Rhinolophus ferrumequinum: one gene and its partner. The protein of the gene in region 1 interacts with the protein of each later gene in a pairwise test. Links are inferred from orthologs where the notes say so. Each region holds a gene or a part of one and is shown in the gene's direction. Other genes may lie near its edges.

Region 1 (14,980 bases):
TTAGATAGGTCAGTCAATGCACCTCAAAATGCTGTGCCTGCCCTTCGCGCCTAATCCCCAGCTCACAGTTTGCCTTTACCTCACAGCTGGCCTCCGGACTTGCACAGGTTGGTTTCTCCCCGTGTGAGAGCGGCGAAGGCTTTCTGCCCCTGGTTGCCATTTGTCTGGCCACTGGAGAACCTTGATCCCTCCAGTATGTGGTTCCCAATAGCCCACTATGATCTCTGGCATGGCCGGCATATCTGCTCTTGTCCTGCTTCTGGATCCCTGTCGCCAATCTCAGTGGCTTTCCTGGTCTTTGCCTCCTTCTCCTTCCACAGACCTGTGGATTTTGCCTATACTCACATTTCCCCTCGGGATGCTCACAGCCCAGGATGAATCAACTCATAACATTGGCTTTCTGAACTGGTGAAGTGGAGCGGCATACGCAGACATAGCTGGATCCCTAAGACGTCCTGAGAAAACAAGCCTAAAACAGCCAGTCTGTTGTCACCACTACAGAGCCACTAACTGCAAGTGTCAGCAAAGCATTGCAGTGAAAAAAAACCAGCGTGTGAGTCAGCAGGCCTGGATTTGAATCTAGACTCTTATAGTCACTAACTATGGGACCTTGGCCAAGTCTGGCAAGGCTTAGTTCTATGAAATAATAGTAATTATAATACTTATGATACAGAGTTTCTAGAAAAACTAATTGAGATGAGTGTAAAGTACTAAGCACATAATAAGCAAATGTTAATAGTTATTTTTCATCATTTTTATCTGCTTTAATAGTAACATTTCTCAGTCCCCAGGAAATGATTAAAGAGGAGGTATTTCTATACCACACAGTCAACTTCTTATTTCTGAAATAGGCTTTTCTCTCCCTCCATCTATCCTACAAGGTCACTACCATCTGGGCTGGTAAAGAAATGATGGGTGCATTTATAGCAGCTAGGGAAACTGTATTTTAGATTTGGAGAATTTCCCCACCTAAAACCCTCTCCTTTAATAAAAATTTAAAGTCTTTTCCTTGCGGTTTACCTGTCTTTTTTTCTTTCTTAAACCACAGCAGCAAAGTCACATTGAGGTTTCTCTCTGTGTGCAAGCACCACTGTAGTAAAACATATTTCTCACTAAGTTTTGGCTGGAGGGAAAATTATTTCTAAGTGTTTTTTTCCTTTAGCCAAGAAGTATACAGTAATTAAAACATTATTTGTAAACAGGAACAAGAAATAATTTATAGCTTGTGTGTGATCATTTCATTCTTTCATGACTTACATATTTATGTGTTTGAATAAAACCTATGAATACTAACTGGCTCTTTATTCCAGCAAATGAGACTGGCGGGGAGAGAAGAAAAGTGTGGGGCACATAATTGAAAAATAAGATGGAATGATGTATTTGAGATGCATGTGTGCCACTGAATCATTCTGTGACTCTAACTAAGAAAAACACTTCGTGCTCTGATTCTCTACCTGGAAGATTATGATAATATAACTGCCTGGAAAATATGGCATGAGAGTCTGTTTTTTTAAAAAGGGAGAATTTTTTTTTTTTAATTTTTGAACTTTTGGGTGCAAACAGGCAAACATTCAAAACAAGAGTCTGGGAAATTAGAATCCTCATTAAGCCTGAAACATTTTATCCTTGGTTAACAGTTTGTAATATTTGAAGAAGCTTCTTTTTAAATATGGGGGTTTCACCAAATAGTACTCATACATTGTTTAGCCAGAGAGGTAGAAGAATGTGCAGTTTATAAAAGATGAACCACACTTGGCCAAGAAACATATAAAACAATTACCATCTTCACTAATAATATAAAAATGGCAAACTAAACAATGAGCTTTTTCATTTTTCAAACTGGAAAAAAATTAAACAGTCTGATGATATGGTGATGATATGGTAAAATGCACACATGATTGGTGAGAATATAAGTTGGGATAGGATTTTCTCCTTCCTCACTGGCCCCCAATAAGTAAAGATGATTCCAGTCTGGGAGCTGACACCCACAGCGGTCACTACCATCTGGCCAGAAAAGTCCATGACATGGGTCCCTGTATGAGAAAGGAGAAGATGGGAGGAGTGTTGTTTTTTATACCTAACTATGCTTTGGTGTGAAACACAGACTTAGAAAAATACAATCCCTCTTCCTTTCTCCCTCATGGATAATGATATACTCAGCAGATACTGTGTTTCCCCGAAAATATGCCCTAGCCGGACCATCCACTCTAACGCGTCTTTTGGAGCAAACATTATTATAAGACTTGGTATTATATTATATTGTATTGTATTATATTATATTAATATTATATAAGACCTGGTATATTGTATTATATTATATTATGTTATATTATATTATATCATATTAATTATATAAGACCCGGTCTTATATTAAAATAAGACCGAGTCTTACATTAATTTTTGCTCCAAAAGACGCATTAGAGCTGATGGTCCAGCTAGGTCTTATTTTCCGGGAAACACAGTAATAGGAAAATGTCAAGATCTGGGCCCATTTAAAATAGGCCAAACAAATTGGGGGTAAGGAAAAAAATGTGTCTAACTACTTTAGGGTAAGTCTCCTTCCCCCACCCCCCACCGCCAACCAGTAGAGCCCTTCCAAGGCCTGTACAGCACTTGCTTCGTAGAGAACCTCTTTTAGGTTACCTGATATCCTTGTATTCAATCCACTAATATACTGTTGTCCCAGTTGAACCCAGAAGAAGATGGGGTAGGGTCAGAAGAGAGAGCAGGATCTGGATCAGGTCTCTGTGGCCTGGCTGTTGGAGAGGAGGCAGAATGGGAACTGGGGTGGCCACAGGCCATACCTGAGAGCAACATGGAATCTCTTTCTGGGGGACTTCTGACATGGTCTGATTCCCCAGTCAGAGACCTCTCGTCAATCTTGAGATAATTTCCATCTCAAGATAATTTCCATCTCATAATTTCCATGGGATCAGCATCCCATCTGCAGACAGCAGGTCACCTAGTGCACAGAGGAAAACTAGCAACAGGGAAAGAGCCTGGCAGAGGATGGGACCCATACAACCTCATCTCAGGGCTGCACCCACGGGCCCTACCTATAGAGCAATGGCCTAGGGTATATCTGGAGAGCCTTTGACAGACAACTTCTAGAGAGCCTTTGACAGACAACTTCTGGGACATGACAACCTGGGACATGACTCCTTTCCAGGTATTATAAATTAAAACAATTACTGATCCCCAAACACCTTCCCACGGCCTAAATATTAAATACTTTTAACCGTAAGACACACAGGGTACAAGTCTGACAATCTTTTGGGACAGTTTTAGTTACTTCTCTCTTTCCTTCCTTCAACCTCTTTAAATGCTAACCTAGGAGCTAACACAATTGGGGTCATATCTGGAAGTTTTATTTGGTTCTTTTTATAGTTTCCATTTCCTTCATTATGTGTTCCTTTAATTTCTTGATCATATGCATAATAGCTGCTTTAAAGTCCACATCTGCTAATTTCATCATCTTTGTCATTTCTGAATCTGTTTCTATTGACTGAGTTTTCTCCTGTTTATGCTTTACATTTTCCTGCTTTTTCACATACATAGCATTTTTTATTGTATACTGGACATTACAGTTATAACATGATTTAGTGCATGGATTTTGTTGTCTTTCTTTAAAGATTGTTAAGTTTCATTCAAGCATAAAGTTAATTTACTTGCAGATAAGCTGTCTCAATTTTGTTTGAGTGGGTCTACAATAGCCTTTGCTGTTGGGCTAGTTTAGCCTTATCTCTGTAAAATATATATGGAACCACTTTAAAATGGAATCTGAGCTGTCATCCCAGAGGAACTACCTTGCACATCTTATGTGTCAAACTTTTGAAATGTTAAAACAGGGCAAAATCACCTTTGGACTGGGCCTAAAGCTTCATTGTGTCCCAAAGAACTGTTTGCAAGGATAACAAGAAAGCAGACTGGCTATCAGACTGATGACTATCGGACTGAATATTAAAAACATTTCTATTGTTACAGATGTTAGCTTATCTGTAACAATGGCAATGCCTTCCATTGATGTAATTATTCCCCTTCCCTTTCTCATTAATTAACCTTGCCTTTGCCTCCTAATTTGAACGCTATTTGGGTTTCTGCGTGAATCAGTTCTTCCCTATTCCTTTTTGATCTCAAATAAATGCGTGTTGCCTTTCACTTTGGACCTTTTTTTTTTTTTTGGTTCACATCTCTAAAGTGTGGCATTTCTGAGCTCTCTGTACAAAATGCCCTAGGTGTTTCACAAGGTTTTGCCATTCCAATTGGTCAAAACTTGAATGTTTCCTGACCCTATTCAAGCTCTAGTAGTTGCTCAGCTTATAGTTCATCCAGTCATTGTTACTTAGCCAGCCTCATGTAGTCTATTCTTAAACCTACACCAACGATTCAAGGAGACCCTTACGCATATTTCTAGAACTCTTTCTCTAATACTCTGCCCTGCAAATTTCAGTTGCCCCAGTCTCTCTTCATTTCAATTTCTTTCTTCTCAGTTAGCAAGAGTACTGTATTCTGCTTGGCTTTCTTCTATCCTGTGCTTAGGTAAATATCTCCAGAAAGAAATCTGGGGAAATCTTGAGATCATCTTATTTGTTTTCCTTCTTTCCAGGATCACAGTCTTACTGTGCCAATTGTCCATTGTCTGAAAACACTTATTTCATAGATTTGGTCCAGTTTTTTATTGTTTGCGGTAGGAAGGTTGGTCTGATACTAGTTCCTTATTCATGGCTGGATCGGCCATAACATTTTAGAAATGTAATCTTTCTATTGAATAATAAAATACATACTGAAAAAATGCACAAATCTTAAATACAGCTTGATGAATTTTCACTAACTGAACACACTGGTGTAATCAACATGCAGATCAAGAAGAACATTATTAGAACTCCAGAAGCCCCTAGTGACCCTTTCCAAACATTAATACCACCTAAGGGTAACCAATATCCTGACTTTTTATTCCCCATTTATTTTTCTTTCTTTTAAAATTTTATTTTTCTTTCTTTAAAAATTTTTTTTTTTAGTTTCAGGTGTAAAAAACAATGTAATAGTTAGACATTTATACCCCTCATAACGCCCCCTCCCAATCTACTACCCCTCTGACATCGTATACAGCTGTTAGAATTCCACTGACGCTGATCCCTATGCTGTACTCCACAACCTGTGACTATATATATATATGCATACATATATATATATACATATATATAAAATTATAGTTGACATTCATTATTATTCAGCTTCAGCTTCAGGTGTACATTGCAGTGGTCAGGCATCTACACCATCCATGAAGTGGTCTCTCTAATAAGACAAGTGTCCATTGGATATCCTACAAAATCTTTACAACATTATTGATTATATTCCCCAAACTGTCTTTTGTATTTCCGAGGCAATCTTGTGGTTACCAATTTATGCTTTCTAATCCCCTCAACTTCTCCCTCATTCCCACTCCCCTCCCATCTAGCAACCGTCGGTTTTTTCTCTATATCTCTGAGACTGTTTCTGATTAGTTTGTTCATTTATTGTATTCTTTAGATTCCACATATAAGTGAGATCATATGGTATTTGTCTTTCTCCATCTGACTTATTTCCATTAGCATAATGTTCTCTAGCTCCATTCATATCATTGCAAATGGCAAGATTTCATTTTTCTTTATGGCTGAGTAACACTCCATTGTATAAAGGTACCACAGTTTGTTAATCCAGTCCTCTACCGGTGGGCATTTCGATTGTTTCCATGTCTTGGCTATTGTGAATAGAGCTGCAGTAAACATACGGGTGCGTACATTTTTTTGAATTAGCATTTTGGATTTCTCTGGATAGATACCTAAGAGTGGAATTGCTGGGTCATAAGGTAGTTCCATTTCCAGTTTTTTGAGATACCTCTATCCTGATTTCCATAGTGGCTGCACCAATCTGCAATCCCACCAACAGTACACAAGGGTTCCCTTTTCTCCACATCCTTGCCAGCACTTGTTGTTTGTTGATTTATTGATTACAGTCATTCTGACTGGAGTCAGGTGGTATCTCATTGTGGTTTTTCTGACTTCTTTACCATCTGTTATTTTTGTCTGTTTTTGAACATTATATAAGTGGGATCATGTAGTATACAATTTTTGTGTCTGGTTTCTTTCATTTAATTTTATGATTGTGACATTCATCTATGTATTGTGTGTAGTTGTTAGATTGTTCATTCTTTTTCCTGTATACTATTTCACCATGTGAATATTGTAAAATGTATTCATCCTATGAACATTCTTATAAATGTCTTTTGGTGAACATATAAATACATTTCTGTTGCATATACATCTAGGAGTGGAATTGCTGGGTTAACCCACTCCAGCAACCACTAAATTTATATAATTAGTCCAGACATTTCTTCTGAACTCCAGATTTACATATCCAAATCTGTCTGATATCTCCATTTATAAGCACCGCAAACTTAACACATCCCAAACCATTTGGTCCTCCTTCTATGTTCCCCTATGTTAATGGCTTCTTAACCCATCTAGTTATTTAAGGAGTCGTCCTTAATGCTCCTCTTTTCTTTGCCCTCCCCAGCAAACCAATTCATTAAATCCCTTGGAGTCCACCTCTGATTTACATAGGTCTCAAAATTATCCAACTCTTTCTGTCTCTACTGCCATTATCCTAGTACAAGACATCATCATCTTGGGCCTTGACTCATGTAATTGCCTCCAAACTGGCCTTCCAGCAACCCGTCCTGCCCTCTTGCAAACCATTCTCCACAAACAGCCTGAGTGAGTTTTTAAATATGTAAATCAGACCCTATTTAACACTCTCTATTAGCTGCCCATTGACCTCAGGATACATTCCAAAACACCATCTAAAATCTATAATGTGGCCAATAAGAGCCTGCATGGTCTGGCCTTTGCCTCCTCTCAGTCCAAGTTTGCTCCCTACACCCCAATCACACCGACTTCCTTTCAGTTCTTAGAACACACCAAGTTCTCTCATGCCCTGACAACCTCACACATAATGTTCCCTTGGCCTTTAACATTCTTTAAGGCTCTTTCATATGCCTGGAGCTTAAAAGGTACTTCTTTAAAGAACTTTCCCGATAGTCCAGAATTAACCCATCATCACACCCACTACTTTTTCATCACAGTTCTGATCACAATTTATAATTATGTAATGATTTATGTTTTAACATCTCTTGCTCCTATTATACTTTAGATTCCACCCGGTGTTATGTTTACTCCTGTAACCCAATGCCTAACACCGTGCTTGGCACATGGTACACAGTAAGTGCTTATTTAATAATACATGACAGATGCAAAGACGGGAAGGGGCCACAGGGTGGATATCTAGCATTTCTCTGCTAAGGTTAGGTGTTTCCTCCTGTGTGGTGGTAAATAGGGCAGGAACTGTTCTCGCTCATTCAGAGGGGTTTTCTCTCCCGCTCGGTGGACAAGCGTTTGCTGTAGGGCCGCATGAGAGACAAATTGCCTCCAGATACAGGAGGCAGGCGGAAGAGATTAGATTTATTTGAGAGGGACAGCATACTCTATCACTACAGAAGTAAACAACCTCTTGACGTAGGTGCGTGAAAAACTGCCAATCTCTCCTGGAGGGGGCGGGACTACCTTGGGCCCTGGGAAGGGGCGGGTTAGTGTGTCCTTCTCACTGAACCTGATTGGCCTGAGCGAGCGGAGAGGACGAAGGCGGGGCTTGATCCCGCCGGGCGCCTGCCGCGTTGGACGCCGGGCTGCCCCGCGGAAAGGCCACGCCCCTGTCCCACAATGCACTGCGGGCCGCGTGACTCGGAGCGGCCGGTCCCAGCTCTACAGGTACGGCCCGGCCCTTCCCAGTCCTCGTTCCTTCCCTCGCGGGGTCGCTCGAACCCCTGGCTGGCCGCTCCCCTCACGCTCCCCGCCTCCTGTCACGGCCCTGGCCCTGGCTGTGGTGTCTACAGACCTACCCAGGGCGGGAGCCAAGCCCGTGCCGTGGGGGCGGAAACCGGGTGTCATTGGAGCCTAGGAGCTCTGGAGGGGCGGCGGTGCAGGGAGTTCGTCCCCTGCGACTTGCGGGGTGTGTGGGGCCACGCGGGTGGCAGTTGCCCCTTGGCTGACCTGCCCCGGGTATGGGGCAGCCCGGGCAGGGGCACATTAGGCTGCCCCAGAGAGCTTGACGTGGCATTTCCTGTTTCTTTTAGGCAGGGTGGGATTTGACTCAGTGGCTTACTTTGCGTTTTGTGGGAATTAAATGAGCAATGAGCCCAGTGATTTGCCTTCGGAATCCTCTGATAGCCCCGTTAATGGCACTTTGGGAACGATGTGGCAGACAGACCTGCGCAGTTGGCTTGACAGGTGGAAGTGGGCTCCGAAATAGGAAGCCGAGCACCAGCAGACTTGAATCCCTCTGCCAGTGAAAGCAGCTTTGGACTTTTCCGTCGCTCCTTAGTTTCCTGGGTCATCCACCTAGGGGCAGTTGGCGAGCTTGAGAAAATTCCCTCCTACTCAGCCAATGCAGGGCCCAGGGCTTGAGTGTCAGCCACCCATCGGGAGATGCTAGGATCCCAGCTGACAGGTAGAACAGCCACTTTTTAAAACTCTGAATCACATTCCTGGTTACTGGCACTTGCTCATGTGCTGAGATTATAAGGAATTAGGCAGTACCTTAAATAGTACCTACAATTTGTGGTATATGAAGGTTGTAGTTCAGTATTCGAATCAGACATCTGTGACCATACCCTCAGTTAATGGAACATCTGGGTGTTTCCTATGTTGAGAACCATGATCTCTGTTTAGTGCTTCTTTTGGTGTATGATAGATTTTTTAAAAAATCTAAGTATATTTTATATTGGTGTATGAAAAAAGCCCAGGTCTTATCGAAAGGGGGTGCCTGGGATCTTTCTATGTAGCTGAAAGAAGCATGGATATATTGAAAGGCAATGTCTCATAGGGTGGTTAGAGTCAGGCCTGGGTTTAAATCTGTCACTTGCTAGTTTAGGGATTGAATAAATTATTTAATCCTTCTGAGTTTGAATTTCCTCAAAAGTAAAATAGAACGGATGAAACCTATCTCATAGGTTATTGAAAGGCTCATATGAGGTAATGTGTATAAAGTGCCTGGGAAATAAAGGGCAGCCAATAAATAATAATAGCAAACAATAATGTACTTTTATTCTGCAAGGCTGTGGTTCAGATTCTTTACATGTTCCTGTGAGGTAGATACTATTAGTATCTTTAAAATATCCCCATGAGATAGATACTGTTAGTAGCCACAATTTACAGGTGAGGAAGTTGAGTATAGAAAGACACAGCTTGCCTAAGTTTACACAGTATATGGTGGAGCCAGTTATTGAGCCCCGGTAATCTGGTTCCAGAGTCCATCCTGTTAGCTAACATACTATACTGCCTCTTAAAAAAATGTAAGCTGGTCTTTTATTATTAATCCAAAATGAATAGCTAGATTCTGTATCACTGGGTTCTTGCCCCTTGTTGGTTTTAGGAGATTGGTGTCGCATAGTGATGTAGAAATACAAGAAACTTAGGTTTAAGCACCACTTCTGCCATACATTAGCAGTGTGGCATTGAGAAAGGGAGCCTCCCCCCGTTGCCTCATCTGTAAAATGAAGATTATATCTCCCTCTCAGTTTGTGAATGATGATGTGTTACACAAATGTTCCTAGATGAGGGTCTGCACATACTGTGTAATGCAAACACCTGCAATAGGAGTGTCAAAGGCTGCTGGAGAGGTTGCGGGGGGAGGTGGGGAAGAGCAAGTTGCAAAATAAGTTCTGGTTGTCCTTGGTACCCTTTCCACTTTTCCTCTTCAAGCTCTGTTTGCCTTCTTGCTAAACTATTGCTGTGCAGGACCTTCCTTTTTCTCTCAATCTTGCCCCCACCCTGTGCAGTATAGTAAGTGTAGCTTTCTCCCCGAATGACATCCTCCCTCCCCCAATTCTCACAGATCTCTGTTAGCACTTTTAATAAAATATGTTCCAAGGTAGTATTTCCCAAATTTTGGTACCGTAAGATACACAAGATAATTTGAGTGATAAACAGATGAACATTTTTTTAAAATTCTCCAGAATTTTCATACACATTTGAATGAAACCCCAAAAGTTCTCTGTTTTAGTTTATATTAAGAGAAAAACCTAACACCTCAAAACTGATTTCACAGATGCTATTGCTAAGGATAAGGCAATAAATAAGTCAAATGAAAGACCTATACTAGGTACATAATAGTACAGGTGGGATGCGGATATGGTAAGAATTCTGAAAATGGTACTTGGATGACTGGAGTTTGGGACATAATGACCTAAAATAAAATAAGAGTGATTAACCCAAAATGAAATGTTTTTAATCTTTAAAGAAAGGCATTTATGAAAGCATATTGCTAGAAAGTAGATATAAAATGTACTTATATGTTTGGTTTGTTTATTACTGTTTGAGAGATTGCCTTCCTGGTACCTTGGACCCACAGGCATTACCCCACAAGTTTCTGAAGAAGAAAGGTCAGCATCTTGTTATCTAAAAGGTTGCTAACCCCTGCTATGGAGGTGTGGTATTATGAGAGTTTCTTTTCTTTGGCCTTTACATAAATATTTACCCAGACCTATCTAGATTCTAATTTGGGCTTTTTCCTCTAGCATTTGCTATTGGGGAGAGGCCAGTACTCAGAGTCCCTGTGAGTTTTCTGCACTGTCTAAAGGCATATGTAATATTTTTCCTATGTTAAAGGTAAGGGAAAATAGACCAGTGGCATAAAAATGTATCTATGGCCCTGATAACACTACTTCTGCTCCTAAATTGTCACTCTAAATCTATCACTCTTAATTGGCAAGTATCTTAACCTCTCTCTTTCCGCAGTTCCCACTGACTCTTCCTTTGTTTCCCCAACCACCGCCTTGCCTAGACTCTAAGGGTACTCTAACCCTAACTTGGCCTTGATGTAGACAGATGCCTCTTCATACTAGCACAGTCCAGATAAGATGAGCTTTTTGGTTTTGTTTTTGGTTTTAAAAAACTGCATTAAGAATCCATGGTAAAAAGAAAAAAGAAAGGGTGGGTAATATTTATCTAGTTGATAGAGGGGAAATTGTTTATCCTAAGGTAATTGAAGTCTATTTACAAATTAGTCAAGCCTGGCATTGCTCATTGGACAGTCATCTCAGGTTTTTTTGTTCGGTCTGGATGGGAGGTCAGTTGACTCTGGGAGGAAGAGACTTTTTCTCAGAAAAATCTTATCTTCTGATAAATAAAAACAGTTTTTTGACAGCCTTTTAAGAATTTTGGTTACAAGCCTAAAGGTGTGTATTAGGAATATCTGAAATAAGTTTGTCTAACTGTAGTTTTCCAATTAGTAAAGTGGTGTGCTACACAGCTTGCATTGTTTGCTTTTTTCATCTGAATTTCTTTAATTCTGGGCTGATGCTTCTTGATGGTAGGAACTGTGTATTCCTAATGTCTGCCATAGTCCCTGGCACACAGTACATACTGTTAAAAACAAAATTCAACAGTCATTTGGAAGATCTAATTGGCTTTATTAAGCGAGTCATGAGTCTGGCACGTTATACACAATGGAAGGTTTTTATAGGCAGAAAGAGGGTGGAACTAAAGAGTTCAAAGTAGATTATTTTAGGCAAGGAATGGCAGGGGGTCTTACCAGGCAGATTACCTCACTAGTGGATCGGGAAATTCCAGAGTGATTGGTTTAAAATTCCACTTCTGGGAGAGGCTGAAACTGCAATTAGATTAGGTATTTAATCTAGGTTTGTTATTATAGGTATTTATCACAAGTGATGCCATTTTGGGCCTGTGGCTCTTCCTTTTAACAGTACTCAATAAATGTTAAATGAATGGAATTTACAGGTTGGTATTCTTTTCTCAGTATATGTTTTAGGAAGTATGAATTTTATCTTTGTGCCTTTCAAGTCATAAAGAAGAAAAGAGTAACTTTGAAGATTACATGAAAGTTGGCACCCTATAATAAAGATACTTCCTAATTCTGTTGGGATCCTAAAAAAGATCAGGCATAAAAGAGTGCAGTCTGCTTTTAAAAACTAAGTATATGGATGTTTGGAAACTATAGATCACAACCCTGCCTTCATGTTAATTCCTGGAGTAGTCCTTGTGTTACAGTATACTTCTGTAAAGACAAAAGTTTTATATTTAAATACTAAATGGTTAAGGATACGAAGTAAGACATTTGCCTACTTTCTTACACTGAGGCTAAATATAGCAATTGTTTAATTAAATAAAACGTGTTAACAATTTTTAAAAGGGGATTATAGTATAGATATTATCCCTTGAGGGATCTCAGCTTTCTCTTTTTATTGCTTTTAGAATAGAAAAAAAATGATTTGGATAGTCATGTTGGAACTTTAGTTGAGAAGGATAGGTGTTAATTCTTTGAATGTTTGCTAAAATTCACCTGTGAAGCCACCTGGTCCAGGATTTTAGTATATGGGGAGTTTTTTGATTACTGATTCAATTTCATTTGTAGAAATCAGTTGATTCAGATTTTCTGTTTCTTCTTGATTCAGCCTTGGAAGATTGTGTATTTCTAGGAATTTATCCATTTCTTCCAGATTGTCAAATTTGTTAGCATGTAATTTTTTGTAGTATTTTCTTTTCTTTTTTTCTTTTTTTTTAAGGGGAAGAGGACTTTATTGGGGAACAGTGTGTACTTCCAGGACTTTTCTTTTCCGAGTTGTCCTTTCAGTCTTAGTTGTGGAAGGTGCAGCTTAGCTCCAGGTCCAGTTGCCCGTTGCTCCAGTTGCTGTTGCTAGTTGCAGGGGGCGCAACCCAATATTCCCTTGCGGGAGTCGAGGAGTTGAACCAGCAAACCTTCCGGGAACTCAGCAGCAGCTCAGCTCAAGGTGCCCTGTTCAATCTTAGTTGCAGGGGGCGCTGCCCACCATCCCTTGCTGGAGTCGAGGAATTGAACTGGCAACCTCGTGGTTGACAGCCCGTGCTCCAACCAACTGAGCCATCCAGGGGGGCAGCTCAGCTCAAGGTGCCATGTTCAATCTTAGTTGCAGGGGGCACTGCCCACCATCCCGTGAGGGACTCGAGGAGTTGAAGCGGCAACCTTGTGGTTGAGAGCCCACTGGCCCATGTGGGAATTGAACCGGCAGCCTTCGGAGTTAGGAGCATGGAGCTCCAACCGCCTGAGCCACCAGGCCGGCCCCTGTAGTATTTTCTTATAATCCTTTGTATTTCTGTGGTATCAATTGTTACTTCTTTCATTTTTGATTTTATTTACTCAGGTTCTCTGTTTCTTGAGAGTCTGGTTAAAAGTTTATCAATTTTGTTTATTTTTTCAAGGAACTAGCTCTTGGTTTCATTGATCTTTGGTATTGTTTTTTTTTAGACTGTATGTCATTCATTTATTCTCTTACCTTTATTATTTCCTTCCTTCTACTCACTTTGGGCTTTGTTTGTTCTTTTTCTAGTTCCTTTAGGTGTAAGGTTAGATTGTTTGAGATTTTTCTTGTTTGTTGAGTTGGCCTGTATTGCTATGAATTTCCCTCTTAGAACTGCTTTGGCTGTGTGTGTCCCATAGATTTTTGAGTCATTGTGTTTTCATTTGTCTCAAGGTACCTTTTGACTTCTTCCTTGATCTCATTGTTGACCCATCCATTGTTTAGTAGCATGTTATTTAGCCTCCACTTGTTTGTGTGTTTTCAATTTTCTTCTTGTAATTTATTCTAGTGTCATACGATTGTGACTGGAGAAGATGCTTGATATAACTGCAGTCTTCTTAAATTTATTGAGTGTAGCCTACCATGCGGTCTGTCCTGGAAAATGTTCCATGTGCAGTTGAAAAGAATATATATTTTGCTGCTTTTGGGTGAAATGTTTTAAAAATATCAATTAAATCCACCTGGTCTAATGTGTCATTTAAGACCACTGTTTCCTTGTTGATTTTTGGTCTGGATGATCTGTCCATTGATATCAATGGGGTGTTAAAGGCCCCTGCTGTTACTGTATTACTGTTGATCCTTTTATATCCATCAATATTTGCTTTGTGTATTTAGGTGCATGTACATTGGATGCATAAATGTTTACAAAGGTTATATCCTCTTGTTGGATTGATCCTTTTATTATTATGAAATGTCCTTTTTTGTGTCATTATAGCCTTTGTTTTAAAGTCTTTTTTGTCTGTTATAAGTATTGCTACCCCAGCCTTTTTTTTAATTTCCATTTGCATGAAATATCTTTTTCCATTTTTTTTGCTTTCAAGTCTATATTTGTCTTTTGATATGAAGTGGGTTTCTTGTATGCAGCATATGTATGGGTTTTGTTTTCTTATCCATTCAGTCACCCTATGTCTTTTTATTGGAGTATTTAATCAATTTACATTAAAAGTAATTATTGATATTTATGTAGTTATTACCATTTTATTCATATTTTTATGTTCCTCCTCCCCCCTCCTTCCCTTCCTCCTCTTCCTCCCTTTAACTAATTTCTGGTAATACGGGTTTGGTAGTAATGAACTATTTTAGCTTTTTCTTGTCTAGGAGAAATCTGCATTTCTAACTAAACTTCCAGTGATTTTTATACAAGCTAAAATTTGAAAACCACTGTGTATGTTTTATCAAAGTTTGACTGATTTCTTTCACACCCAGGCCTATGTAGTCCTTTTATCTATTTTTGTAAAGCATGACCAGAATCTAATAAAATAGGCTATTATTTTTTACTTTCTGGTAAAAAGATTGAGAACAGTATTAAAACCAGTGTTCCTTTAGCTTTAAGATTTATTTTAAATAAAAATTTTTTCTGGTTATAAAAGTAATGTGTGCCCATTGTGAAATATGAAAATTTAGGAAATTTTAAAATGATAATCACCCACTATTTCCTTGATATAAGCATTATTCTAATTTTGGTATGGTTTCTTCCAGTATCTGTTTCTCCATTTATTCCTCTCTTCTCTTTTTCTTTCTGGAAAACAACACTTACAGTTTTTATCCTGCCTTTTTTCCCCCTACCAAACATACAATCATTTTACCACA
Region 2 (15,057 bases), on another chromosome or scaffold:
CCCCAGCAGAGAACCCCAGAGCAGCCTGGATAACAATACCAGGCAGGAGCCTATTCTGGTCCCAGAAACTCCCAGGGTCCCCATTTGCTCCTAGGGTAAAAACAGTCGGTGTAGATTTCTGCGGGCAGGCTGGGTCCTTCCCCACTGGTTCTCTCTGCTCTCTCTCTCCTATCCCCATTCCCCACCCCTCCATCTGGGACTGATGGTAAGAAGGAGGTGGGGTAACTCCCAGGTATGCTCTCTTGTGACTGGGGCTTTGAATGTAAACAGCCCCTTTTAGAATTACAGGCTATCTGGTCTTCCTTCTGTTTGGTTTTTCTTCACATCCTGGGCTCACCTGTCTTTAATATGAACCCTCTCCCCTGCAGTGTCCACCCTCAACCCAAGTTATTCCTTTGGGTCTCCATTCCTAACTGGACCCCAAACACCCACTTCTTGGCTTTTGCATGAGACCTCTGCCCTTCTCCCCAACTGCTGCTTCCTCCACCCCTCCTGACTCTAGGCTGCTCCACCTTTTGTGACAGATTCCATCGGGCATGTAAGGGTCACCTGCCTCTGAATCTCCAAAGGCTACCTGCATGGGTTCTCCTCTCCCCAATCCAGGATCTGTCGCCTTCCACTGCCCACCCCTTTCCCCAAACCACCACCCGCCTTCCTCAAGGCCCTGTCCATACAGGAACTGCAGCAGTGGCAGGTGGGAGAACGCTCCATCCTGGATCTCTGAGAAGGCAGCATTCACCAGCGTCCTGCAGGGGACACCTGAATCAGTACTGTGAGGAGTATGCAGGGACTGTGCTGGGTGGGGGGGTGCATGGTGGACAGGGCAATGGTTTCTATAGGCACTTGCTCTGGAAACTCGCCATTTCGCCAGCCTGGCCCTCCACCTGGGCCTGTCTTCCCCTTCTCCTCACTGCCTGCCTTCATCATCACCCACCCAGACGGCCTCCCTGAGCACCAATGGCCGCAGATTCAGCTTCCCCCTCAGCCAAAAGAAGGTTCCATTACCCACACCTTCATCATCCTCCAAACACCCACAGTTACGCTGGGTGCTATTGAGCGATAGGACCCTGGGATGGGAGTGGGGGGATTAGCACTGTGCTCTTTTTGTTTCCAGAGGCTGCTGCTGCAAATGACAGGTTGGCTGGCCCTGTGCAGAGTGGCTGGTGAGACCAGTGGCAGGTGTCTGCCCCGTGCCAGGGTGCTGTGTGGGTGCATCTCACTTCTACCCCTTCCCCTGCTGCCTCCTTCCCTCCCCCCACTAGAAGCCTTTCTGCCCTTGGTGTGACATCACAGACAGGGGCCCACATGCTAGAGTAAACAACCCCCTCCTGTCTCCCCAATCCTGAGCCCTGCACATAGTAGGTCTCATTGATGCTGCTGGTGGTGATTCATTTTGGCCATGAACTCCTGCTTTCTCCAGCCGTGGCTGCTGAGCCTGCATGACTGCAGGACTCCCCGCCTGGCTGGTACCTTGAACCTCCAGTTCTTGAGGACCCCCCTGGAGTCCTCCTGGTTTCCACGCTCAGTAGAAGCGGGGAAGCGGGGTTCTCCCCATCCACTCCCAGAGCTGTTCATGCCTTCCTCCCTATCTTGGCTCACCCCCCCCACCCCCACCCCACCCAGGCCAGGGCTGGGCACTCACAGAGAGATGACCTCGGAGGGCAGGTTCCTGGGCACTGCCTTAGAGTCCACGCAGAAAGCCGTGTCCCTGGTGCAGGAGCAACTGGGCGGGCAGAGGGGCGTTTTGGGGGGCCTCTTGGCACTGACCTGCAGCATCAGGCAGAAGCCAAGCGTGGACAGCAACAGCAGCGGCAGCCGGGAGCCGGGTCTGGGCCGCAGCCCCGCCATGCTGCCGGCAAGGTTTGCCTCCGGCCACCGGCTGCCCCTGCCCCACCGCTCTCTGCCACTCTGCGGGCTGGCACCGCCTGGCCACCGGCGGCTGCTGCCGCAGCGAGGGGCCCGGCTGCCGGTTGCGGAGAGCGGGCTCCTCTAGCTCTAGGTGCCGGCTGCAGTCCTCTCCCCTGCTCGCTCCCGCGAACCGACTCGGATTGATGCGCGCAGAGTAGCGGAGCAGAGGGCTGCCCGGCTGGGATGGCTGCGGACTGCGGAGGCGGCCGCGGGGGCGCGCAGGGCGGTGGGGGGAGTCCCGGGCTGGGAGTAGCCAACGAAGGGAGTGGTTGCGGCCCTGGCCGCCCTATGCTGCATGCCCTACCGGAGGTCTCTGGGCCATCTGCTTGTGTCTGGCATCCAGAGCGTCTGTGCATGTGTGCGAGATATACATGTGCGTCCTAGATGGCAGGACAGCGTGCACACCTGTCTCTGCAGGCCCGTGAACAGATCCCCTTGTGAGGCATTTCTGCACTAGGGATCTACGTGTGTGCCTCGGTGTCCCCGTGTGCATGCCTTGCCCTCAGGGACACGTCCTCTAAGCAGATTCATGGGCATGTTGTAAGTGACAGGTGTGTATCTGCACTCACATTTGTTTCCACAGCTCATGAACATAATGTGCCATTGTGTCTGTGTGAGCGGAAAAGGGGAATGTCATCACTGAAGCCGGCGTGGGAATGTGTGGAATTCTGGAACATTTCTCTGGCACAACCACAGCCTGTTGGAGCTGGGAAGGGCCTTGGAAGTTTCCCAGTCCAGCCCTGTGTTTAAGAAATGAGGAAACTGAGGCCAGAACCAAGAGGAAAGTAGCCAAGCTTGATATCACACCTACTATGTGTTGTGGACTCTACTTACTTACTCCTGTCCACCTTTTGAGGCAGATGATATTGATCTCGTTTTACAGAAAAGTAAGACTTATAGTACCAGGGGGAAAAAAGTGACAGAGCGGAGGTTTAAATCCACTCTGCCCAATTCCAGGCTTAACAGTTGTTCTTCCACACCCGGGGTTTTCAGTGTGGCCCAAGCAGCCCAGGGGTCCTTGAGAACCTTTCAGGGACTCTTTGAGGTCAAAACAATTTTCCTATTAAAGACATTATTGCCCTTTTCACTTTCATGCTCTCACAAAGTACCCTGGAATTTTTTTCTATTAAGCGAGAAATGAAAGAAATTTGTAAAAATGTAAAACAATAACATTCTTCTCTCTAATTTTTTTTGCTTTGTAAAATGATTTCACTTAAACTTTATGTTATTTATGTTATGTAATGGGTTTATTATTGCTATTTTAACGCATGAATAAATATTTTTTTAATTTCTCAGTAAATAATAGATATAACCCACATAAACAAAAGCTCTTTGGGGTCCTCAATACTTTTTAAGAGAGTTAAAGGACCCTGAAACCAAAAAGTTTGAGAATTGCTGCTCTATGCCATGTTACCTCCCTGGGGTGTGGGTGTATGGTGTGTGTGTGTGTGTGTGTGTGTGTGTGTGTGTGTGTGAGGGGGTGACTGTCCCAAGAGCTGCCAGGTACAGAACAAGGGGAGCCTAGAAGTCAGGTGATTGGGCTCCCAGTCTGGTGCTCTTTACACATCAGTCCAGGAAATCGAGATCACCGGGTTTAAGATGCTTTCCCAGCTGACCCCAGCATCAGCCAGCAGGGGATTCTTTGGTCTGAACTTAAGTCCATGTTCTGCCAGACAGGGATGCCCTGGCCCTTTGATGCATCCAGCTTCCCGTGCTGCCTTCCCCATGCCAGCTCGTGGGAAGATAAGCAATGGGGGTGGGGACGGTGGCTGGGGCAGCTGGGCAACCATCTCCACTCGTCCCTGGCACGGCTCTGCCCAGGACACAAAGGGCAGAGTGAATCCTGTCCCGCCCCTGCAGCTGAGGGGCTGGAAGGAGAAACAGGGAAGACACACATAGAAGGAGGGGCTATTGTGGGGCTTTCCACGGCCACAGTTCTCAGAGGCTTTAACCCAGAGACAGACAGAAAGGGGGAGGCGGGGTCCTACTCTTAGTAGGGTCCTTCTCTAGTAAGACCTGCCCTGGGAGTTGAAGTAAATAGTGATAATCATGGACTTTCACATCATGATGTCATTGGATTCTCACAACAGCCTGGAGCTGGGGACAGGCAGACAGTATTAGTCCCATTTCACAGATGAGTACTCTAAAGCCTAGAAAGATAGGATGTCTCATTCAGGGTCCCAGAGCAGGCCAGTGAATCACCGAGTCCTCCACATACTGAAGGAATGAACTATTGACCGTTTGTCAACGAGCCCCCACATGTGTGGGGATAGCCTTATCGTTGACTATAATTACACGTTGGGTGCGTGCAGGCTCCTTGCTCTGGGGCAGGTACAAAGAATCCTCAGGAAAGCTTGATCCCAGGGCCAGTCTCATGGCTGGCAGCTAGGTTGAGTAGGTAAGGCAACAAAAAGCACCCACATAGCTGATGAGACCATCAGGGAGTGTTAAGTGGCAGGTAAACATGTGTCAGGGAGGCTGGGAGATTTTGGAGGAGGGATGGGACCCTGTAGGCTGGGGCGGTAAGGTCACAGAGTAGGTGCTATTGGTTCTTGTTTGGCCTTTTAGGGTGGGTGGTATTCAGAGAGGTGGAGAGGTGTTGAGGGTGGGCTTTCCAGAAGGGAAAACCGGCCTAAGTAAAGGACAAGAAGAGAGAAGCCTGCAGTAGAGGGCTAGTGTGAGGAGCAAAGGGACAGCTATGCAGGACCAGCTAAAGCGCCCTCCCTCCTTCCTTCTCCACATTTCCCAAGATCTCTACCAGGTTGCTGGCAGCATCTGAACTTCCCTTACGAAACTGGAGGGCATCCTTCCTTCCCAACTTCCAAACAGGCAAAAACGAGAGGAAGGAAGGAAGGAAGGAAAAGGAAAGGAAAGGAAAGGAAGAACTGTAAAGCTTATGAGAAGCACAGCCTAAGGGCAGCCTGCAGGGGAGACTGAGGACCGGAGAGGACCGAGGCTTCTCTCCCAGAAAGAGCCCCCTTTCCCACACCCTGTGATGATGGCAAGCCCGGCCAACAGCACCTGTTCAGAACAAGCTCCTCAGCTGGACTAGGCAGTCCCCGAGATGCCCACAGGGACCTCCTGATGCTTGCAGTTATCCTTGGCCCTCCCGCTGGCCTGCTGCCCACCTGGCGCAGGCCCAGTATGTGTGAGTCAGCGATCAATCCCAGTGTTGCCAGGACAACTGGGGGTGGGAGTGGGGGCTCTGGGGGCTGTCTTCTGCCTCTGGCACCTGCACACAGCTGAGGCTGCACACTGAGAGGAGGCCGCTTCCCCCTCCTCCATGAACCCCTCTCCCCCTGTTTCACTCCTCCTAGGACACTGGCTGCTAGAGGCTTAGGCAAATATTTAAAGGGGCCGTTGGGGGTGGGGCAGTGAGGTGGGTGGTGGGAGCAAACATTTCCTTCCTTCTCTCCTTCTCCAATCTTCTCAGGGGCTCTCAGCTCAGATGCCATGCTGTTGTGCAATCTGGAGGCTGAAGGCCCTCCAGCTGGAGAGGGGGTTGTTGTGGGGACAGGGGAACCTGCCAGGGCTGAAGAGTTGGGGGTCTGCTCAGGATTGAAGGGCAAGGCCAAGGTGCGAGGGAGCCCCTGGGCAAGGGACAGGAATTGGGATGAAGTGTTGGAGTTACGGTATAAGGAAGATACTAGAGGGAGGCCAAGAGAAGAGCGAGGTGTGGGGCTCTGATTTACACACTTGGGAAAGTTTAGAGTTAAAGGTGCCACAGAGCACACCTGTCCCAGCAAGCAGAGGGGAACCTGAGAGAAAGGATACAGCCATCAGTAGGCTTGTTTAGCACAACGAAGCAACAGCGATGGCTTTGGGAAGGAGGAGGAAAGAGATAGAGGGGAGGAGAAGGTCCACAGAGTGGATCCCATTTGGGCAAGTAGTGTTCTCCAGGCAAATTTAGGATCAGAGGATGTCAAAGGAAGAGTGCAGAAGGGAAGGGTGATGGCAGCACCAAGGAAGTGCGCTGATTCAGGGGTGAAGAGATTGGGAGCCCATCAGTCACCACACCCAGCCCGGTGCAAGGCTTTCTGGACAGAAGAAAGAAGTGTCAGGTGTGGAATCTGCAATCAAACGTCTTCAGTTTGAGCTCTGAAAATGGTTTGCCATTCACTTGACGCAGAACACCCCACAAAGTCACGCAAATCAAGAGGCTCAAGTCTTTGTGTTTATTTTAAAAAACACTCATGAAACTGCCCAGGCCATCAAGGGTATGTATGTCCGAAAAGCCACCAAGTATCTAAAGGATGTCACTTGACAGCCGTATGCGCCATTCTGTCGTCACAATGGTGGAGTTGGTAGGTGTGCCCAGGTCAAACAGTGGGGTTGGATGCAGGGTCGGTGGCCCAAAAAGAGTGCAGAACTTCTGTTGCACATGCTTAGAAATGTAGTGAGGAATGCTGAGGGTTTAGATGTAGATTTTTCTGGTCATGGAGCACATCCGGGTGAACAAAGCTCCCGAGATGAGGTACAGAACTTATAGAACTCTTGGGGGATGAACCCCCCAGGTGAACAAAGCTCCCAAGATGAGGTACAGAACTTATAGAACTCTTGGGGGATGAACCCCTACATGAGTTCCCCCTGCCACAGTGGGATGATCTTTACTGGAGAAAAGCAGATTGTTCCTAAACCAGAAGAGGAGGTTGCACAGAGGAGAAGAAACGGAAGAAACAAAAACGTTGGCCTGGGAATAAATTCAGCATCAAATAAATGCAAATAAAATAAAAGCAGGAAAAAAACAAAACAAACAAGCCCATAGCAAAGAATGGAAAACCTCATGTTAGTAAGAATTTGTAACTGGAGGGGACAGAGTTTTCAGAATTTGGAAAAGAATAGCTGGGGGCATGTCTGAGGTTAGGTAAGGAAATGTGGTAGACAGCAAGTAGAGTACTTGAGGTCAAAATCTGAATGCTCCCAGAGAACTTATGAATGATTTATGAACCTCCATACTGATGCCTTCAGCAGTGCACGATCTGGGGCCACAGACACTGCTTCCTCACTCCCATTCCTGAAGCGTATCCCTATGCTCGGGTTAATCCTGTAGGAAATATGATGGACTTCCCACTGGGCCAGACCCTTGGCTGCCTGAGAGGTACAGCCTGGAAGAACAGGGAAAGCCACAGGACTGCAAGGACAGGTGCCAGCAAGAAAAGTGGCCATGCCAGGAAGATACCCACGGTGAGAGGTGCAGATTGCCCAAGGGTAAGTTTGCTCAACTCACCCAGCTTTGCTTTCGCCAGGGCTAAGAGGACTCACGTGCCAGAGCAAGGGCCCTTAGGTGCTCTTGCAGCTGCCTTATCAGGGCCGTGGTTCTGGAGGGCCAGGAACAAACAGGCTTCAAAGCTGAGGGCTTGGCTGGCAGATGGTTGCTGGGCCCTTCACCTCTGTCCCCTCTCCCTCCTGGCACATATAAAACCCCAGTCTCACACATAGGAGACGTAGGAGACGAGGAGGGGAAGGTGCCTGCAGCAAGATGGATGTGGGCAGCAAAGAAGTCTTGATGGAGAGCCCACCGGTGAGTGTGAACATGTGTGTGTGCGTGTGTGTGGTGGGCCTCTCTGGGCTTATTTCCCCATCAAATTTATTCGCTTAACCGACCTAGGATTGTGCTAAGTTAGAGCAGGGACACCGATCACTATGACAGAGTCCTTGGGGGAGATAGACATGGCAGCCGATGATTCTAATATGAGTGGCTGAATGGCACCACAGAGGTCAGTGGAAAGGGCTGTAGAGGGCACTGAGTAGGAAACCACTGCTTGGACAGTCATAGGAAGAACCACAGAGAAAATGACATTCGAGCTGACTCCAGGAGAATAAGCAGGAGCTCCCCAAGTGGAGAAGGAGGAAGGCACTCAGAAAGAAGGGCGGTAGGTATAAAGGCACAGAGGTGTGAGAGAGCATGAATTGTTTGGGGAACAGAGAGGGAGTGGGCGTGGCGGAGGTACCAGGGGTCTGGAGGAAACAGCGGGAAATATCATTAGTGAAATAGGCTGTCTCGGGTCTCTCCAAGCCAGACCTCACTTCTAAGCATCTGTTGGTTTGCTGGAATCCAGGCCACCTCCTCCTCTGATCTCCTCATCCTTCCTCTGCACGACCATAGCATAGGTTGCTCAGCCCTGGGAGGGCGTGAGAGGGTGTCCAGCTAGTGCAGGGAGAAGGGGTGTCCTCATGACTTCATAACTGTCTCCTCCCCACCCCACCACATCAGGACTACTCAGCAGCCCCCCGGGGCCGGCTGGGCATCCCCTGCTGCCCTGTGCACCTCAAACGCCTTCTCATCGTGGTCGTTGTGGTGGTCCTGGTCGTCGTGGTGATTGTAGGGGCCCTGCTCATGGGTCTTCACATGAGCCAGAAACATACTGAGATGGTAAGCAGGCCTGGGAGGAAGTGGGCAGGAAGTACAGGGCATGCCAGACAGATTGGCTTGGGGGGCTGGGTAGGCAGCAAACTGTCCAAGAGGAATGAGAGGAGGAGGCAAGGGGCACCTCGTGGAAGGACAGAGGCAGAAGCAGGGTGGCCAACCTGGCCTGGGCTTTCCCCTCACCCCTACCCCACCTGGGGACAGCCTGTTCCTTCCAGCACCTGGTTCTACTCAGCCTCTCTGAGCTCTCAGGGAAGAAGGAATTGCATTTGAGTATAGGGGATTGAGAGTGGGCATGAGTACTGAAGGGACAAGTGGGGAAAGAGGAATGCCAGGCCGCGCCGTGCCCTCCCCCAGGTCCTGGAGATGAGCATTGCGGGGCCGGAAGCTCAGCAACGCCTGGCTCTGAGTGAGCGTGTGGGCACCACTGCCACCTTCTCCATTGGCTCCACTGGCATTGTAGTGTATGACTACCAGCGGGTGAGTGTGCCTGGACCTCTTGACCCTGGCCCCAGGGGACCCATGACAGGACTTTGCTAGATCCACCCAGCTGTGCTACGTCATACACACCCATCTTTCCCCATACTCCAGTGCTTTTGCACCCCCTGGGGGTGCCTGAGCCCCAAATTCCAATATAACTCCCTCCTGTGCCCAACCTAGAGGGAGAAGGCCCAGGACAGGGCCTAGCTCATTCCCTAATTACCTCTGGGGCTCCTATGCCCAGCTCTTGATTGCCTACAAGCCGGCACCAGGAACCTACTGCTACATCATGAAGATGGCTCCGGAGGCCATCCCCAGTCTTGAGGCTCTCACTAGGAAATTCCAGAACTTCCAGGTGGGTGTGAGGGCGAGAAGGAATGGGTTGTCTCTCTCCCGAGGCTGCTGGGACTTCTAGGAACGCCTGTGTGTGGCACAAGGAGTTGGGAGCACGTTGTCAAGTTCTGACCCTGTAAAGTGCTGTTCCTCTGGGGCTGCCAGGGAAGGGTCCCTCTCCAGACTCACCTGCTCTACACCTTCCCTACCCATTCCCCAGACCCGCCCCACCACCCCACCTCCAAGCTGCTGGCCTCAATTTAGCCCACACCACACATAGGGGCTTCTGACTCCAGCACAGACCCCTCTTTACTGGTGAGGAAACTGAGGCTCAGAGAGATTGCTTCACATGCCTGAGGTCCCACAACGAGGGCCACAGGTGAAACTCAGCTCCCAGGCACCAAATAAGGTGTACTTTCCAGGTGAAGCCTGAAGTGCCTCCCGCTAAGCTGAGCCAGGAGAAAGGCCATGACACTGGCTCAGCATCCAATGGGGACCTGGACTTCCTAGGCAACACCGTGAACACCCTGTGTGGTGAGGTGCCCCTCTACTACATCTAGGATCCTTCAGGTGAGCAGGTGTGACCTCCAGGGCACGGGAGTAGCAGTGGCCCAAGAGGGCTTGGGCCACCTTGTCTTGTCAGTTGACCTGGAACGGGAATCCATTGAGGCCGATCACCCAGGGAGCTCAAGGGAGGGCAGGTTCACAGACAAGCCCCCCGACCCCACCACCAGTCCCTCTCCCTCACATAATACAGTGTTTCTTTGCTTTGCAGGGCATGCGGAAGCCCCAAGGGGACAGGAAAGATCCATGAGCAAAAGGTCTTTTGCAGACAGGCAGGGAGCTGCTCCTGCCACACACACTACAGGAACTGGCCCTAGAGAAATGGGAATCTGTGGGGAGAGGTGGGAGGTGGGAACAGTCCGATGAGAGGTGGCTCCTAGGGATCAGAGGGCTCCTACCACAAGAGAATAAAGCATCCTGATTGAAAAACAAAGGGTGTCCCTTTTCTCCCCTCCCACAGTCCCGGGGTCCTGCTCTTGGTGGGGGGGAGGGGAGGGTAGGGCCTTGAGGAGCAAAGGTGGCTTTCCCACTCTTTCTGGCCCAGGGTGATGGTGGGGAGAGGGGACCTGGGAGCGATCAACGGGCTTTAGGCGCCCTCCAGTGGTGTCTCCCGGGAGAGGGCGGGAGACAGAAACAACTCTAGGGACAGGGACCGCAGTGAGACAGAGCAAGGATCCGAGCAAGGGAGAGACCGAGAGATGCAGGCTGAGAAGCGCGGGTCGTGACCAAAGGAAAGAGCGAGGCACAGGCGGCGCGAGCGACCTGACAGCGTGTCCCGCACCGGGAGGGGCTCGGGCCGGGCGCGCGCGGGAGAAACACCGCTAGAGGGCAGCTGGGGGGGGCGGTCACCGCCAGCACCCCGGGGCCCGCACCCCTCTCCGGCCCGCGCCCCGCGCCCGGGCCGCCCGAGCCTCCTCCCGGTGCGGGCCGGCTGCTCGTCTTCCCCGCCCCGGCTGGCGCGCCGCCCGGGCCGGCGGATCGTGGTCCCGGCCCCCAGGAGGCCGATCTCCGGGCGAGAGCCCGCCCCCCAGCGAGCTCATTTCCCTAAAGGGGGGGACGAAGGAGGGAGGGCGGGAGCGAAGGAAGGAGAAAAAGAAGGGAAGGGAACGGAGAGACTGGAGGAGGGAGCGGGCCGCGAGCGGGCGGCCAAGGGGCGGGGGACAGGAAGGAGGGCGGCGAGCGCAGGGAAGGGGAGAGGTGGTAAGCGCGGGGGGAGCGGGCGGGCGGGGAGAGCGGCGGGCGGGGAGGGGAGCGCCTCCCCCTCGTCTCCAGCGCTCCGCTTCCCCTCGCCCGCTCCCGCGTCCGGGCGCGACCCGCCGCTGCCACCGCCGCCAACGCCACCGAGCCCGCCGCCGCCAGCATGCCCGGCGTGGCCCGCCTGCAGCTGCCGCTGCTGCTCGGGCTGCTGCTGCTCCCGCGCCCCAGCCGCCCGCTGGACTTGGCCGACTACACCTATGACCTGGGCGAGGAGGACGACTGGGAGCCCCTCAACTACAAAGACCCCTGCAAGGCGGGTAGGCACCCCTACCCCGGGGCCGGCGGGACGCGAGGGCCAGGCGCGGGGAGGCCTGGCCCGGAGGCGCGGACTGCCGGAGATTCGGGGTGGGGGGAGGACGGTCCGGTGTGGGAAGCCGGGAGCTGCCTGGTTGGCAATGCAGTGGGGAACAAAAGAAGGAGGGAAGGAGGGAGGGGAAGTTTGGGGGACTTTTAGGACTGAACTTTTGCGCTGTTTGTGGAAGCCTCTGCCTCTTGTCTTCCCAGAGGATTCCTGGGGAAAGCTCCCTGGGTCCGGAGAGAAACCTGCGGCCAAGGAGGCTTTTCCTCCTGCAGGAAACTTTTCTGGCCAAACTCTTGTGAGTGTTTGTGTGTGTGTGTGTGTGTGTGTGTGTGTGTGCGTGTGCGCGCGCGCGTGTGCACTTTTTCCTTCTCCCCTGTCTCCAGCTCCAGGACATTAGTGTTTTCCAGCCTGTCTGTCTGGGCTGCCCTGAGACTGCACATCTCTCTCCCTGGTATGGGGTGGCCTGCATCTCCAAGGAGCAGGTTTCCTGAGGCCACCACCCAGCCCAAATGGAAGAAGAAAGGGATCCTCTGAGATCATGCTCCCTGGATGCCCCGGGGTCCCCACCAGTGCGGCAACTTTCTGGGACAGAGGAGACAGCTGTCAAAGTCAGAGAAGCCAATACAGGAGGGGGACTTACCTATGCCCCTGTGTGCCAGGGGCTCCCACCAAGACCAAGTTTGAGGGAAAGGGGGAAATACAGAGAACTCAGACACTGTATATCAGCTCTGTCAGTCCACAGACACTGGAGGGTTATTAGCCAAGATCAGGAGCCTGGAGTGTGTGTGTGTGTGTGTGTGTATGTGTGTGTGTGTGTGTGTGTGTTGTTCTTTGTCCACGAAGACCCTATGTAACCTCTTCACTCCTGCTGGGCCCAGAGGGGTCCTGCCCCTGGAATGACCAGATAGCCAGGCACTCGGGCTATTTGCCTGATTGGATGACCCTGAACAGGCTGCCTGGAACAAGAGAACACACAGGGCACAAGATATCAGAACCTTTCCTTGATTTCCTGCCTCTGACTTCAGCCTATCTCTGAATAGCCAGAGCCAGAGTCAGTGGCACAGTTCCTAGAGTTCTAGGAGTGCCTGTGTGTGGCACAGGGGTTTGGGGCAGGTTGCTCGAGTCTTGATCCTGGGGACCCTTATCTGGGTGAATGGACAACAGCAAACTTGGGAATAGGAGCCCCTTCCTGTGGGAGGAGGAGAAACCAAATCCCTCTGTCCTTTTTTCTCCACCCCTGCTGGGCTGTGGGTAAACCGCAAAGTTGGCTGTCATCTTTCTTTTGGGGCGTGGGGTGGGGGTGATGCTAAGTGGACAGAGAGTGGGCTTTAGAAGCAGGCAGACCTGGCTGTCAATGCTGGACCCACAAGGCATTAGCTGTACAAACCTCAGAATGTTAATTAAAATCTGTGACCTTTGCTTTTCCCACCTGTAAAATGGAACTGATGATACGTCTGTCCGTAGAGTTGGTGGTAAGAATTAAATATGAGAACATATACAAAACACTTATTAGAGCTTAACACACACTAAATAAATAATAAATACGCACTAAATAAATGTTGGCTGTCTACCCCCTGTTTTCTGTGCCTCACACTCTCACTTCATTTTTTTCTGAGGGAATAGGCTTGGTTTTCAGAGACAGGGAGTGTCTCTCTGGCCCTGTCCTTGTGTCACTTATTCACTCAGCTGATTTGCATTTACTGAATGCCTTATATGTGCCAGGCCTTGGGCTTGATGTTGTTGGAGATACAGAGAAGTGTAAGGCAGGGCTCCTGCCCTCAAGTTGCTGACAGTCCAGGAGGGAACAACACATGGGGACTTACCCAACAGCGCAAACCAAGATGCATTGTGTGCCACCTTGGAAGGGAAGGACCTAAAGTCTCAAGGAGCTTCTTGCCCCTTTGCAGCTCTGGTGGTGCTGGTGGTAGAGAAACAGTGGTCATAGTAGGCTGGGAAGGTTTGGGGGTCTTCATGGAGGAGGCGGGCTGGGACAAAGCCTTAAAGAATGGTTAGGAAGCCAATCTGATGTATTTCACTACTAGTTGGAAGTTGCAGTGATTTTCAGAGCAGCAGGAGGCTGAGGGCTTTATCCCCAGTCTCAGATTTCATGTTGGGGTGGGGCTGGCTGACTTGGAACTTCAAACAAGAGTTTTGCAGAAAGCTCTTCACCAGGATGGAGTGAGGCCGGTGGGGAGCTGGGCCAGGCCTGGGGGTGGCCCAGAGGGCCTGAGAGCCTGACAAGGCCAAGATTCAGGGTCAAATCAGGCCTCCCTCCTGGGCGTGACTGGTGCAGTCCTGCCTCCGCCCTGACTTCCTAAGACCCCACACCCACGTCCTCAAGCCTCAGGTCCCCAGGCTCTTTTCTCTGTTTCTCCTGCCAGACTTTGCCTCTTGCCCTCTCAGCCCTGATCTCCAAGGGCTGGAGGGGATCGTTGCAGGTGTGCCTGACTTTTTCACATATTGAAGGTTTGTGACAACGCTGCGCCAAGCAAGTCTACTGGCGCCATTTTTCCAACAGGCTCAGATAATCGTTAGCATTTTTTAGCACTAAAGTATTTTTGATTAAGGTGTATACATTATGGTGTTTTTAGACATAATGGCATTGCACATATAATAGACTACAGTACAGTGTAAACATCACTTGGATATGCACTGGGAAACCAAAAACTTCATGTGGCTCGTTTTATTGCGGTATTCACTTTGTCGCAGTGGTCCGGAACCAAACCAGCAGTATCTCCGAGGTATGCTTGTGCTTCCTTTGGATGCAATAGGTGTTCCTACTTACCGCTGCTCTCGACCCTCTCCAGGTCTCTCCTCTTCCTCCTCCTCCTTGCAGATGGAGGACCGAGAATGAAAGCCCCATTGACTCCCGGCTCACCTGCAATCTCTCACGATAGCCAGACCCCTTCATTTGAGGTCACCTCTTGCTCTTACTCTCCGAGTTATGGTTACTGTTGCAGGAAGGGCAAAATTAAGACCCTCGTTACCTTGGAGAGGTTCCTGTATCTTCTGGGTGAGACCAGAGCAGTGTACAGAATGCCGAACTGGCCTGTGTGTATACTGGGAGCTGGTTCCATGACTCTCTCTCTCTCTCTCTCTCTCTCTCTCTCTCTCTCTCTCTCTCTCTTTCTCTCTCTCGCCCTTGCTCAAGGAAATTGCAAGTCAGCCCTGATTTCTTGTATGTCAGGTTGCCAAACCATCAAAGGTGTCCTTTCCTGAGATTCCCAGCTCCATTTGGCTATCCTGATAACTTGGCAGTGACTCTCAGGGCTCTGGGAGAGACTTGGAGGCAGGAATTGGGACCGAGTTGCTCCTATAAGCAGAAAAGCCCATGGGGGGTGGCAGGTTAGCTCAGTTGGTTAAAGCGTGGTGCTCTTAAGACAAGGTTGCCAGTTCAATCCCCACGTGGGCCACTGTGAGCTGCGCCCTCCACAACTAGATTGAAACAACTACTTGACTTAGAGCTGATGGGTCCTGGAAAAACACACTTAAAGAATAAAATAAAAGTTTAAAAAATGAAAAGGAAAGCCCATGGGACTGCTCCTGAGCCAGCCAGGACCTTCCATCAGCCTCAGGTGGCAGCTCAGAGGTCTGCTTTGGGAGAGGAAGTGGGCCAGTAGTTCACTAACTCTCATCACCATCCTCACCCCAGGGGCCTTGTGGCCCAGGTTTGGACTTCAAGGGGCCTCAGAGGACTGGGTTCCAAGCTCAGGAGGCTGAAAAGCAATCCCTTCTCCAGCCAGACCACATTCCCCCTCCAGACACTCTGAATGAGTCACCCACCCACTAATGCCCCTGCTCCCTGAGTCACCTTCTCTTTTAGGTGCCCCAAGGGAGGAGGAAAAGA

Evidence for each region.
Region 2: the proteins of SEC22A (region 1) and SFTPC interact in binary tests that used the Homo sapiens proteins (3 or more experiments, as listed by UniProt). The two-hybrid records come from large-scale screens. The link is inferred for Rhinolophus ferrumequinum from reciprocal best matches to the Homo sapiens genes SEC22A and SFTPC.

The regions. Positions count from the first base shown.
Region 1 is NC_046285.1:47,824,294-47,839,273, forward strand, and holds the start of SEC22A (vesicle-trafficking protein SEC22a), read left to right. Parts: upstream 1-7,699; 5' UTR 7,700-7,805; intron 7,806-8,200; exon of another isoform or gene 8,201-8,544; intron 8,545-14,980. UniProt on the Homo sapiens protein: May be involved in vesicle transport between the ER and the Golgi complex.
Region 2 is NC_046301.1:44,261,875-44,276,931, reverse strand, and holds SFTPC (pulmonary surfactant-associated protein C), read left to right. Parts: upstream 1-6,934; 5' UTR 6,935-6,963; coding exon 6,964-7,116; intron 7,117-7,298; exon of another isoform or gene 7,299-7,387; coding exon of another isoform or gene 7,388-7,429; intron 7,430-8,122; coding exon 8,123-8,281; intron 8,282-8,632; coding exon 8,633-8,755; intron 8,756-8,999; coding exon 9,000-9,110; intron 9,111-9,510; coding exon 9,511-9,648; 3' UTR 9,649-9,658; intron 9,659-9,863; 3' UTR 9,864-10,067; downstream 10,068-15,057. Other genes in the region: LGI3 (leucine-rich repeat LGI family member 3), read right to left, coding at 675-746, 1,643-1,848. UniProt on the Homo sapiens protein: Pulmonary surfactant associated proteins promote alveolar stability by lowering the surface tension at the air-liquid interface in the peripheral air spaces.